Linked DNA regions of Caenorhabditis elegans. The protein of the gene in region 1 interacts with the protein of each later gene in a pairwise test. Each region holds a gene or a part of one and is shown on either strand. Other genes may lie near its edges.

Region 1 (6,671 bases):
ACCATGTAGACGCTTTGCGTATTACTCCAATTGGAAGAGTTACAAGATAATTTGCATGTAAACCAGACACAAATCGTTCTTCTCCTCCATGGTCTGCCGATATTCGTTCGATATCAAATATTCTTTCTCGTACAGATTTGATTCCTCCCTTTGCGTCTGTATGTTTAGATAACTCAAGAATTGACGACCAATGTTCGAAAATAGAAGCAGATCCGCCTTTCTCTTTCTCAATAACCTAAAAAACAGATTTCTATTAATATCAAAAAATATACAGCGTCATACCTCATGGATCAACTTCATTCCAATTGCTCGATTCGATTTTCGTGCTGCCACCGCTACCCATTGAAGAGTATTAATTGAATGTCTCATATCATTTGCACACAATTCGCATAACTTTCTCAAAGTACTCAAATCACATCGAAGACGTTCTCGGTCACAAATTTCTTCCAGTCGTTTTGCTAAAACATCTTGTTTTGTTGCGACTAGTTGCACACACCAGGCGACTCCTCGTAAATCACGCAATGCTGGCGTATACCTTTAAAAACAAATAATTAGAAAATCAAACACATCTTACGAATACATTGAGTTATCCCGATAAAGGGGGTTTGTGTTCCGATTTTTACCAAAATCTGAAACCAAGAATTTTAGTTTTTGATTTCTTTCGATTTTTCGAAAAATATCTTGAAAGTTTGATCATTTTTATTCTATTTTATTTTTATTCATGTTTTCTTGTGTTTTTATCAACAAAAACAGAATTTGATTTCAAAAAAAAAAAATAATTTTATGGTTCACTGATTTTTTTTCTTCGAAAAATTGTCGTTTTTCGATTTTTAGATTTTCAGTGAAAAAAATCGTCAAAATTTTCGCTGACATCTTTGTTCCCGATTAGGACTGTCGTTTTTAGTTGGTGTTTCTTGCAAAAATGGATTTTTGGACTAAAAAACAAAAGATTATCTTTCAAAAATGTAGGTATGATGGAAAAATCAAAAGTGTTTTTTTTTTCGGTTTTTTGGAGAAAATTGGTTTTTGGTTGAAAATGTTTTTGCAACTGTTCCCGATATCCTATTATATATTTTCTTTCTGTGTCACTGAAGCCATAAAATAACTTACAAATTATTGCAAATTCCAATAATGGGTCGCCGAATGGCTTTTTTGCCTGTTGCTTGAATACACCGAACCAAATGACGAATAGTATCAATTGGTGTTCCATCAATTTCATCAAGAATCAGGCATGCTGGCCGTTGATCTGCATCAAGTGTTCGAGATGTTTTTACAGCTCCTTCTAGTACTTTATTTAAATCTGCGACTGTTCGAGCATCACTTGCATTTACATCAATTGTTGAATAGCCTGCTTGACGAGCGACAATTCGTGCTAGTGTACTTTTACCGAGACCAGCCGGGCCAGAAAGAAGCAACATTTTCGATGATGGACGCCGAATTTTGCCATTATCCATGTGTAGTACTTCTCGTTCTTTTTCACCGAGGCTTGCTAGTAAATCGTCGACTTTTTGATGGAACACACACTCGTCCCACATTTTCAGCCATGTAAGAATATTTCGATTGACAGTCTGCAATATCGTGACTTCTTTTTTTAAAATAATGTAATTCCTTACACTGTCCGAGAGCAAATCTGAGAAATTTTTGGCTTCGTACTTGTTCACCCATAATGATGATTCTGGATGAGATTTATTATTTTCATATTCAGACGGTGTTTCAGTTTCTTTAAGCATGCGTGAAAACTCGGCTTCCTGTTCTTTAACGCGAGATTCTTCTTTCAACTTGCTGAAAACTATAAAAGTATTCAATTTTCTAGTGAAACTATTACCTAAGACGTTCGGATTCCTGACAAATCGACTGAAAAGCTCGAAAACCGACCCTCGAACGGGTTGCTTGTTGGGTAATCGATTCTACTAACGGAACAGAAAGACGATCATCACGGAAAGTTCGAATATAAAATCGTTGCCCGTTGACGACATCACTGATACCAATCCAAGGTGAACCATCAGTTACCGGATTTCGCATGATTTCCTGAATTCAATGATAAAAATATAATCTTTCAAGGAAAAGTAATAACCTGTCGTCTTCTATATCTCCGTTCCATTTCTAGCTCACAAAGTGAAGAAATTGTCTGCTCTCCGCTTTGAAAATCGTCAAAAGCATTAGAATGATGATTTTCATTCATTTTTCTTTCAGCTTGAGCAGCTGCTTCGTTGATTTTCTGTTCCAAGCTTTCGAGGGCTCTTCTCTTAACAGCATTTACTTGTGACTTTTGTAATACTTCACTGGAAACTGTTTCCATTCTCATATGCCAATCTAAATATATAATTTAATTGGAAAACCTTCTTTTTGACTGACCCATTGGATGTGAACGTCTTCCATATTGATCAAATACGTCTTCTACTTCATTCAAGCGTCTTTTTCTTTTACCATATCCAACTTCTTCGAGAGCATTCCTAACTTCATTGATTCTTTGATTTTCAGAGTCTCCATTCGGAACTACAGCTAGCTGATCCTCATCATCTCTTAAAATTCAGCGAATGTAAAACTACTTCTGCTTCTCAACATAAAGATCTTACGGATATTCAAGTTGCCCATCATCGTCGGCAAACCCAGAATGCAGTACATTGTAGTCATCATCCATGTCTTGCTGTATCCATTAGAAATGTTAGAAACACAATCTCACAACAATAAGTACAATACACTGTTACTTGACACACTACATATAAAAAAAACAAATTGAGAAACTTGAATAATTTAGATACAAAACTTTATTTTAATTCCAACGTGCCAAAATGGGGGTAAGAACTTGAGTACAAAGAGTACTCCCGAACACCAATGAAGGAAACAATAACGGGGGCTTGTAAAAGGAGAAGGAAAGTGGTAATATATTAAAACAACATTCAAATACAACTTGGATATTCGGTGGTGGGATGATGTCTGATTGCAACTTGTACTCGAAAAGAGTAAACTCAGATGGGATCACGGTCGTCAATCACCGAAAACCGGGGAGATAGGATGTGAAAATGGGATGCGGGCTGATTGGATTGGATTGTTGAGAGATCTACTAAAACGCTACACGCCATAAAATTCAGATACCAGAATCTTCTTACTTAAATCATCATTATTAGAACGGTGAGGAAGGAAAGGAGAAACAATAAATAGGAAAATGAGAAGGATAGGTACAGAATCTAATGGATGTGCAATTCTTACAAGAAGGAAAAAGGAGAACGGAAAGCTTCTAATTTTGTCCCGCATTTTGGAAACCGCTGCGCATACCACCTCGTGGAGCACCACCCGAACCGCCACGGCGGAAGAATTGTCCACCGCGTGGTTGGAAACCTCCACGTCCTCCTCGGAATCCGCCGCCTTGTGGTTGATCACGTTGCTCACTAATTTGAGCATGTCCGTCAAATCCGAATGCATCCAGTTTGAGTGGAAGCTTCCACACGCCTTGCTCATCCTTTGTAGCCGCTTCGAAAATGGCTTTTACTCCGGCCTTGTTACGCATGGTAATAAATGCAAAGGCATGTTTCGATGTGTCGTTCGGACTGTCAAGAACCTTGCGCGGCATGCGAACCTCCTCGATTTCTCCATATTCTTAAAATGAAAATTTAGTGAACTATTGGGACTATTAATTTGCTTACTGTAGAACACCTGCTTGATTTCCGATTCAGCCTGAGCTGTGTTGCTGGGGACAATCTCTCGAGTGATTCCTCCCAAATAGATCTTACGCTCATTTAGGTTGGCATCTGAACTTTCCTGAGCTTGGCGCAATTCATTAGCTGGGTGCGACTGTCTCTGTTGCTGATAAAGAGGAGCATGCGATCCTTGTTGTTGCTGATGCATGGAAGGCTGCATGTGGTGCATTTGTGTTTGCTGATGGATTTCTGAAAAATAAATAATCTGAGACTAGCCCGATCATCTTTCGTTTTTTCAACTCACGCTGTCCTTGTCCATAACTTTGTTGTTGTGGGGGCTGAGACTTTCCACCTCCACCCACAAGATTAGCCCACGTTTTCTGAACCTTTGGCTGTTCTTGAACAGGCTCAGGAACTGGGGCTCTCTGCTGTGGGGGCTGTTGGGCAAGCTGTGGTTTCTGCGGTGTTTTCGCTACCTCCTTTTCCACAGATTTCGGAGTGTCTTGCTTCACTATACGATCTTCAGCTTTCTTTGGCGTTTGCTGCTTTGGAGGAGCCGGCTTTGATTGTTCCTTAGGTTGCTCGGTTTTGGAAGATTTGGAATCCTTTCCATTTGCTCCACTGGCGTGTCCGTTATGACCAGTCGACGAAGTAGTCTTCTCCTTTTCCGTATTCGCGACGAAAAACTTATCAATGTACTGAAAAGCGTCTGATTCGACATAGTATTTTTTCTGCCCTTGTTGCCCAAGCAAAAATGATTGAAGGAATGGACGGAGGTTAACGGTTCCGATAACATTGATAATCACTCCCTGTTTGTGTGGGGTTGGGTATCCCTTAAAAATATATTTGTAGGAAAATCGAAGAACGTCGTGTTTACCTTGATAGATTGAATCTTGAAGTGGGTGGTTTCTGGTAGATGATTGTACAACTTAACAATCTCCTAAAAATATATTAACGAAATGTATTTTTGTCAATTTATATTTGTTGCCAACCTGCGATCCAGTGACCACCTGATCATCCAAATAGAACTTCGATTCATGTCCATAGAACTTGGTAATCGCTTTACGGTTCTCAGAGACGGTGATATAGAACTGATGGCAGAACGCTCCACCGACTTCTGAAATAAAATCAATTTAATGCAATATTCGGGATTGAAAGAATTGAAAGAAAAGGTGTGTAAGCACTTATTAAGTGCGACATGACTCACGTTCAGCGGCTGTCAATGAGAGTGGCTCGACCGGAGCGGTGGAAGTCAAATTACCATTGATCGGATCCATCTTATTCTGGGTTAAGGCCGAGGTTATCTGCATTTAATAATTACCTGAAAATGTTTATTTTTGTTTATAATTTTAAAAACGGTTTATGTAAAAGATGACGAAAAAATAATTTAACCGCTGCTTGCTTCATGATATCAAGTTTAACTATTTTGGAGGAAACTAGTTGTAAAACGGATAAATTGAACCGGAAAACTGAAAACGAACGTAAATCCGAACGCGCGAAATTCGAAAGAGGCGTTTTTTGGCAACGGGCCAGTTTGATTCGCAGGCACGCTCGTTTGAATTTAGTGATGGGTCTCGGCACGATTGCCATTTTGCGAGGCAGTTCAAATACACTTTTCTCTGCATCCTCCGTTTGTAGTACAGTCTTTTGTTTCTTCTCGGTTTTCCACGTATTTCCAGCTTAATTTGCCAACAAGGCGTTTATTGAGAGAACTTCCTACAGATTTATCAAATCATTATTGTCAGTGAAGCGCCTAGCATGCAACTGGTTTTCCTGATTCTCTCTGCTCTTGCAGCTGCTGATGCTTCTGCGGTAACTTTATCAAATAAAATTTATAAATCTGGCTAAAATCGTATAATTACAGAAAATTCTTATCGGCAAATCCTTCGTGACCAAGTATCCGGTTGCACAAAGAGAAAACGCATTTGAATATCAGATTATCAACATTGGCCTTTCTCCAGCTCTCAAGGTATGTTTCAAAAAGTCGCAAAGATTTTCTTTAAAAATTAGTTTCTTTCTTTCGGATAACGCGAATTTTGGTTAGAAATTGTCGATTATTTCAGGTCGAGCTGTCTGATCTCAAATCTTTCCCAACTGACCGATTCGAGATTTTGAAAGGATCTGCAACAGCAAGTTTTCCCGTCATTCCTGCGAATTCCACCATCTACCATCACATTGTTGTCATTCCTCGTGTTCCTCAAGCCATCGAAGATCACGATGTTACCGTGAACTATACTGATTCCGAGACTGGCAAACGTGCGCGAACCTCTACAGTCTCGTATGATAAGAGAGGATACAGTATGTTTTGAAAACAACGGAACTAATTCAAAATTTTAAACTTAAGCTCATTTCTTCGCCGAAACTGCCATGAGAAAAGTGGAAGGAGTCAATTGCACACACTTCCTCGGATTCGGAGCCATCGCTTTTCCATTGACTGCAATCCCAGCAATTCTCTACTGGATCTCCAAACGTCGTTATTCAAACAAAAAACAGGATTAGCTTTCGAATCGTTGTTTAATTTTACTGGTTATCAATCTATGGGTACACATATAAGTCAGCTTTAAATTGTATTTATTAGCACCCGGTTGAAGAATAAAATATTGTAGTTTTTCGACAATTTTATTTTCCACATTTCAATGTCAACTGCGTCAGCCGAATGCAAATTTCAGACGGCACTAGAATAGTTTGCATAATCCCTCTCTTCTCGTTAGTTGAACGAAGCGAGTCGGCAGTCGAGTTGTCAAGAACAACACAGACAAGATGGGCATGAAGAAGGATCTTCTTCTTGTGCTTACCATCGAATCTGTCGTGCTCGGTGTTGTCTTGGGCTTCGTTATTCGACCTTTCAATCCCAGGTGAGAAGATCTTTAAAATCTTTCGGGTCTAAATTGTAAATTTTAAATTAATTTTTTTAAATCGATTTGTGAATTCCAGTAATGATACAATCAGTCTTATCGGATTTCCTGGTGAAATTTTCATGCAAATCGTTGAGATGATGATTTTGCCATTGATAATGTCTTCTGTGATATCTGC
Region 2 (6,426 bases), on another chromosome or scaffold:
TTATGCCGATTCAACAGACTTCAATGCACTTTTCGGTGATGCTATTCTTGGTAATTTCGAGTTGAATGATGATACAAAATCTTGGAAATCAAAGAGATCTCGTGGAAGCTCAAAAGTTTTTGATGATCTTTTTGGTCGATCCCGAAATCGTTCCGGAAGTGCTTCTGGTAGAAGATCTCGAATGATATCACTTTCTGGATTTTCTGGAGTTTCCGATATGTTTGATGAGCTTTTCAATAATCCAGGAGATATTGATAGTCACGCAGATCAGCTTATGCTTACTCTTAATAATATGCCTTCTGATGGTTCTATTGATAGACCATTGTCTCCTGAAATGCTGAATCCAATACTACAGGCGGCAGTTGAATTTTGTGATCGTTGTGGATATGAATGTCGATTAACCAATGGAAGTTGGAAATGTAATTCAAGTCATTGTGGAGCAATTAAAACTCAAGGAAGTGCATCCGTAGCTGCCGCTCGTGGAATTATTGATCAACCTATTCGTATGCCAAACCTGGAAATAAAAACGGAATGCCTTAGTGATACTAGTGCTGAAAAATCATCACTTCCTGCAAAAAGAGCACGGAAACCGAAACGGAACTCAGACGATGATGATTCCATTGACGAAGAAGCTGCAAGAAGAGCAAATTCTATTAATAAAAAAAAGAAAAGGGTTCAGGTAAGACACGTTTCACAAATTTGTAAGATGTAAGGCTTTTTCGCTACATAAAAAAGAGTATTGGCTGAATATAACTGTAAAACATTCATAAATTTCAGAATTTAAAAAATCAAATTTTTGAAACGCGATTTTTCAATTTCGGCTATCAGCAAATTCTCTGTTTGAATTTGCTCCACAATGAGTCATAGCCAAAATCGAAAAAGCGCGTTTTTAAGAGGTGGATTTTTTTTGTGGTTTTTGTGAATTTGAGACTATTTTTGGATTTTATTGCACCTTAGTCAAAACTTTTCTGAAAGATTGAAGAAATGATAAAACGTAGAAATATTTTATAAACTTTTCCAGTTGTTTTCGCTCATTACGATAACGCAACATTTGAAAAAAAAACCAATATGAGATACCAAAAACTATTTTATTTAAGGTTCTCTCTCCACGATCTCGATCACACAGTCCAATTCCACAGATAACTCCATCAACTTCTACAGGTCTTTTGGGTCGATCAAATTCTCCGTTGTCAAGCTCTCTTCGTATTCGTGATAGAGCTCGTCCTAAACATTAGTAAGTTCCCTATTACTTGCTATTAAAATATATGGCAGTGATGCGTCAACACTGATAAAGTGGTTACAGCAAAGTGGAAAAGACACCTCCAATCTCAGCAAGTGGACATAGACATTGTGTTAATTGTAATGGACAAGTGAGACCACAAATGTGTGGTGGAAATCGGCATAGGTAAGATTTCCTACAAAATATCAACAAAAAATGAATTTAATTTCTTTGATGCTCTTTTCTTATGTTTCTTATTTCAGATGGCGTTGTGTTGATAAAAAATGTCGAAAATGGTACGGATGGGTCCGCTCACATGAAGAAATACCAAAAAATACAGGACGAAAGAAAATGACAACATTCAAATCACCTATCACCAAGCCAATGAAACTGATGAAACCGAAAAAAGGTAATTTAAATTTTGAAAGTTGTGAATCGAAGTTGACAAAGTTTTCAGAAGAAGAAGATGATGGATATCCTTCATTGAAACGAAAAGTTGGACGTCCCTCTAAAAATGATATCAAAATTCGATTAAAAATGCAAAAAGAAGTTGAAGAAAAGCAAGCAGCTGTAAATGCTGCACGAGCTTCTCAAATGGCGCTTGATGCTGCTGCAACATCGTCTGTTCCACAACAAAGAAGAAAGTATACGAAAAGGAAGAAGGATGGTTTGGGTGCAGGAACTGGAGGAAAAAATAGAGATTATAGTCCATTTGAGGATGATGTTAAGAAAAGATGTACGTTTTTTGTCCTCTAAATGTTTAACGATAGTGATCAATCAGAAACTAGCGTGTTATCGAGAAAAAAAAATTTTCAAAAAATTAACCATAAAATTCAATTTTTTAAAGATCAAATTTTGGGTTGAAAGGCATAACAAAACACATAAGAAAATAAATAAATTTATTCTGAAAAAGAGAAATTACCCAAATTTCAAGAGATTTTTCGAAATATCGAAAAAAAAACAATTTTTTTGTTGATTTTTTCAATTTTTAGAACATCGAAAATTGTAGATTCTTTTCGAATAAAATTGTATGTGTTCTGTTTTTGCTGATAAAATTGAATTTTTTTGTAAATTTTCTGAAATTTGTTTTCAATTTATCGGTTGTCTTTAAAAACCTCAAAAAATCGGATTTTTTTCGACGGCGCCCATGATCTAAAAGATTTTTGAATACTTTCTTTTCTTCAGCGACATCTCCTCTCAATGATCGTTCCGCATCATATCGACCGTGTGCAATGGAGAAACGTGCAAGATGGTGGACTGGAGAGAAAAGGAGAGTCGATGCATCACCAGAACGAGAATTCGGAACAACTCCCGCTGATTCTGCAGCTGCATTTCGAATGATGGCTCATGCTGTACGGTCTGCTGCTGTTACAAGGTACCAACCTGAATTTGAAGTTTTATAAATCGTTAAATATTTCCAGAGCTGATGAAGTTGGTACTGTAAATGGTTCACTTGATCTTCTAATGGATTCTCTTCTTGGATCAATAGGACCACTTCTTGCAAATTTGACAAAACTTCCAGTATTTCAAGGAGATCAGGAACTAGCTCAACAGCTATGGAATGCATCGGCTGTTCATATTCCAACATTTCAATAAAAGCAGCTAAAAATGCTAAAAAAAGGTGCTAAATATTGAAAATCCTTCGACCATTTTCTCTCATTATAATGTCTCAGATTTGTATCATTGTTATAATCATTTAGATATCAACTAGTATTATTAATTTTCTCAATTGTCTTTTTTTTGTATTAGCCGACTGTCTACGTTCACTACCTCATTGTTCAATGGTTTTTCTCTCACTGTCAGTACAAAACTAATAAATTTTACTGTTCCCCTATAAAAAACTGTGTTTTTTTATAAAATACAATTATTATGTATGGATTCAAGGCTCGTGAGTTTATTTTCGAAAAAGGCAACTTGCTAGAGAAGAAAATTCATCGATTTTCAAATTAGCCAGTTTTATCAGAAATTGAAAGAAATGAAGAATTTGTTTTCAGAAAAATGACATCAGTTTATGAAAGTCTTTTATCAGACTATCCAGACAAAGGAGTAATTGGAAAACCTGAGGTATTAAAATTAATTCTGAATTTTAAAAAAATTGAAAAAAAAAAGAAATTCTCATCGATTTTGCACTTAAAACACACTTTTTTTTCAAATTAAAAATTGCTAAGAACAAAAAAAAAGAACTTTGGATTTATCTTAAAGCCGTAAAAAGTTTGAGCCCAAAACGCAAGTACAAAAATGTTCAAAAAAAGGTATAATAGAATTATCCCTTTTCGCCAAAAAAAAACTTTGAATAATCACATTTTATAAAATACAAAAAAAAAATGAAATCTGCAAAATACAAAACCGTTTCGAGTAAGAAAAGATTTTTTAAACACAATAGTATAATATTTCTTATTCAAAATTTTCAGATCCGAGACACTGAAACTGAAATAATTGAGAAACTCCGCACTTTGTACAACCATTTCGTCCAAGCTAAACAAACCGGAAAACCAATTTTTGTTCTTATCGGAGCCGGTGTGAGCACTGGATCGAAACTTCCAGATTTTCGAGGAAAACAAGGCGTTTGGACATTACAAGCTGAAGGAAAACATGCAGAAGGAGTGGACTTTCAAGTTGTACGTTGTTTAATAAAAAAAAAACATTTCTTAAATATAAATAAAAATTTTGACAGGCTCGTCCCGGAGTCTCACACAAATCAATATTGGCACTTCACAAGGCGGGTTACATCAAAACGATAATCACACAGAATGTTGATGGATTGGATCGAAAAGTCGGGATTCCAGTTGAAGATCTCATTGAAGTACATGGAAATTTATTTCTAGAAGTCTGTCAATCATGTTTTAGGTATATTTTAAAAATCAATCCACGGAAAACTCGACCATCTTCATAAAATGAGTTAGGTGCATTCTCTCAAAAATCGGTTCGGTGGAACTATTGAAAACCCATCCAAGTCTATTGTAAGTTTCAAGTTTCAAAAAGATCTAACGTGAAAAATAAAGAAAAAAGGTTCTTATTTTTCTAGCTCACTTCACAAAAACCGCCGTCTAAATTCTGACAATTTTAAAACAAACGGAATATATAGTATAAAACTTTAGCATCAAATATTAGAATCAATTAATTTACAAGAACATTTTTTGGAAAAGTCTTAAACTTTTCTCATCGAAAGTGTTAAATATATTGTTTTACAGTGAATATGTACGAGAGGAAATTGTAATGAGTGTTGGCCTGTGTCCAACTGGTCGTAATTGTGAAGGAAACAAACGAACCGGGCGATCGTGTCGTGGTAAACTTCGTGATGCAACTCTCGATTGGGATACAGAAATCAGTTTAAATCATTTGGACAGAATCCGAAAAGCATGGAAACAAACATCTCATCTTCTTTGTATTGGAACATCACTTGAAATTATTCCAATGGGATCTCTACCACTTGATGCAAAATCAAAAGGAATTAAAACAACTACAATTAATTATCAGGAAACTGCACATGTATGTTCATTCTTCCATTCGCAAAGTTTTCGTTGCGGCGATAGGGATTTTACTTTAAAATACGCAGATTTGTCCTAAATGTCCAAAAAATAATTTCAAAAAGTTTGAGAAAAACCACTGGTTTCGGCTCCCTATCTGAATCAATTTCTATCATGAAATTCAGGACCATTCTACGTATTTTAAAATTCCCGTCGGCGCTATTCCAATTTTAAATTCTCTTGAAGCTTCGTATATTTTAATGATTTTCCTTTTTTTCAGGAAAAAATCGTGGAAACTGCAATTCATGCTGACGTTAAACTTATTCTTTACTCATTATGCAATGCACTTGGAGTGAATGTTGATCTTGGAGATGATCTACCGGATGAAGTGCCTATTCCATTGAAAATTAGCTAAAACTGAATTATAATTGAATTATATAAATAATTAATTTTGGATTTCGTGTTTTTATTAAAAATTGATTGGGAGACAGCTGTAAGAGAGAAGACTAATCAAATCACAATTTTTGTTTGTTGTATAAAACATTTTTGGGAAAAGAACAAGAAAAATGGAAGAGTGGTGGATAAAAAGCGAATTTTTTCAAAAAATTCAGATTTTTGAGAATAAAATCTTTTGAATAAAAAGAAGAAAGGGTGCGGTGTGGGGAGGATCACAAGTGGGTTCTTCGAAGAAAAATTGCATCTGCTGAGGGGAAAACTTGATAAAATCGATAAAGCTAGAGTTCAATAATAAATCAAATGAAACAACTACGACACCCTGCTGTAAGTTTCTGGGTATTTTCCAGAATAAAAAATTATACAAAATTTGATGAAACGGGGGGATTTCTATATATTTATGAATTTCTTTGTAATAAATTCATTATTAACTATTGGAGGGACGGGGCTGTGTGTGGAGTAAAACCAAAATAAACCGATTGAGATGAATGAGAATATAGAACAAAAGAAAATAAGTTGATGGGACAAGGAAAAGAAAGAAAATATACACATAAGTTGGAGAGAGGGTGGGAGAGTTAAAAAAAAGAAATGCAGACGAGGTGATTTTATTCTAGATTTGGATACGTCACGACATTCAGACATTCGGATCTTTTCCCAATCGACGCAGACGTACTGTAAAATATTAATTTATTGATACTGTACGGTGAGTATTTTATCTTTCGTATTACTGCCAAAACATAACTGTCACTCAAGAAAAGCATTTTGCAAGCCCGCGGCGCGGTTTGATATATGTCGAATTACGGAAGATACTCCACACGGACAAGTGATTTTTTTTTCGGCATTTAAAAATTTTTTGACTACTTCTCTCTTTTTGAACTACTTTTTAAAACGTTTTTTATATTTAAAATTAAACAATTAAAGGTAAAGAATAAATTGACAGACCGGTAATACTTATTTTAAATTTTCAAAATCTTTTCTTTAAGTATTTTTATACATTTTAAATTAATCAATATTTCTTTAAAATCCCTCAATTTTAGTTCTCGTTCTTTTTTCTTTTCCGAGGTCAGGTGTCACACATTTTCAATTTTTCCCCAAGCGGCTTCCCCCTCTAGCGAAAAGTTTAAAGTCAGCCGAATATGAAGGAGGCGACTGATAAAAACAGCTGATTTTTCTATGATTTTGTCGAAAAAAAAATAGAACAGACGTACATTGAGTGGTGACGTAAAGGAAGAACACTTTGGAGAAAAGCACAAAGGTCAAAATTATTAAAATTTAGTTTTTTTCGGT

The links.
Region 2: the proteins of gtbp-1 (region 1) and sir-2.4 interact in a two-hybrid assay, tested with the Caenorhabditis elegans proteins (one study listed by BioGRID).

Annotation. Positions count from the first base shown.
Region 1 is NC_003282.8:10,123,998-10,130,668, forward strand, and holds gtbp-1 (Ras GTPase-activating protein-binding protein gtbp-1), read right to left. Parts: upstream 4,960-6,671; 5' UTR 4,949-4,959; coding exon 4,846-4,948; intron 4,756-4,845; coding exon 4,631-4,755; intron 4,579-4,630; coding exon 4,516-4,578; intron 4,472-4,515; coding exon 3,943-4,471; intron 3,888-3,942; coding exon 3,645-3,887; intron 3,598-3,644; coding exon 3,239-3,597; 3' UTR 2,752-3,238; downstream 1-2,751. Other genes in the region: ctf-18 (AAA+ ATPase domain-containing protein), read right to left, coding at 1-235, 283-535, 1,111-1,568, 1,614-1,782, 1,826-2,028, 2,075-2,313, 2,356-2,522, 2,577-2,641; K08F4.3 (Translocon-associated protein subunit beta), read left to right, coding at 5,397-5,450, 5,503-5,607, 5,702-5,936, 5,983-6,137; Putative sodium-dependent excitatory amino acid transporter glt-3, read left to right, coding at 6,399-6,493, 6,573-6,671.
Region 2 is NC_003279.8:5,987,528-5,993,953, forward strand, and holds sir-2.4 (NAD-dependent protein deacetylase sir-2.4), read left to right. Parts: upstream 1-3,213; 5' UTR 3,214-3,217; coding exon 3,218-3,283; intron 3,284-3,630; coding exon 3,631-3,837; intron 3,838-3,893; coding exon 3,894-4,066; exon of another isoform or gene 4,067-4,179; intron 4,180-4,410; coding exon 4,411-4,708; intron 4,709-4,966; coding exon 4,967-5,101; 3' UTR 5,102-5,139; downstream 5,140-6,426. Other genes in the region: C06A5.3 (PWWP domain-containing protein), read left to right, coding at 1-679, 1,098-1,234, 1,295-1,405, 1,483-1,628, 1,677-1,955, 2,405-2,594, 2,641-2,815; unc-94 (Tropomodulin), read right to left, coding at 5,774-5,811. UniProt on the Caenorhabditis elegans protein: NAD-dependent protein deacetylase.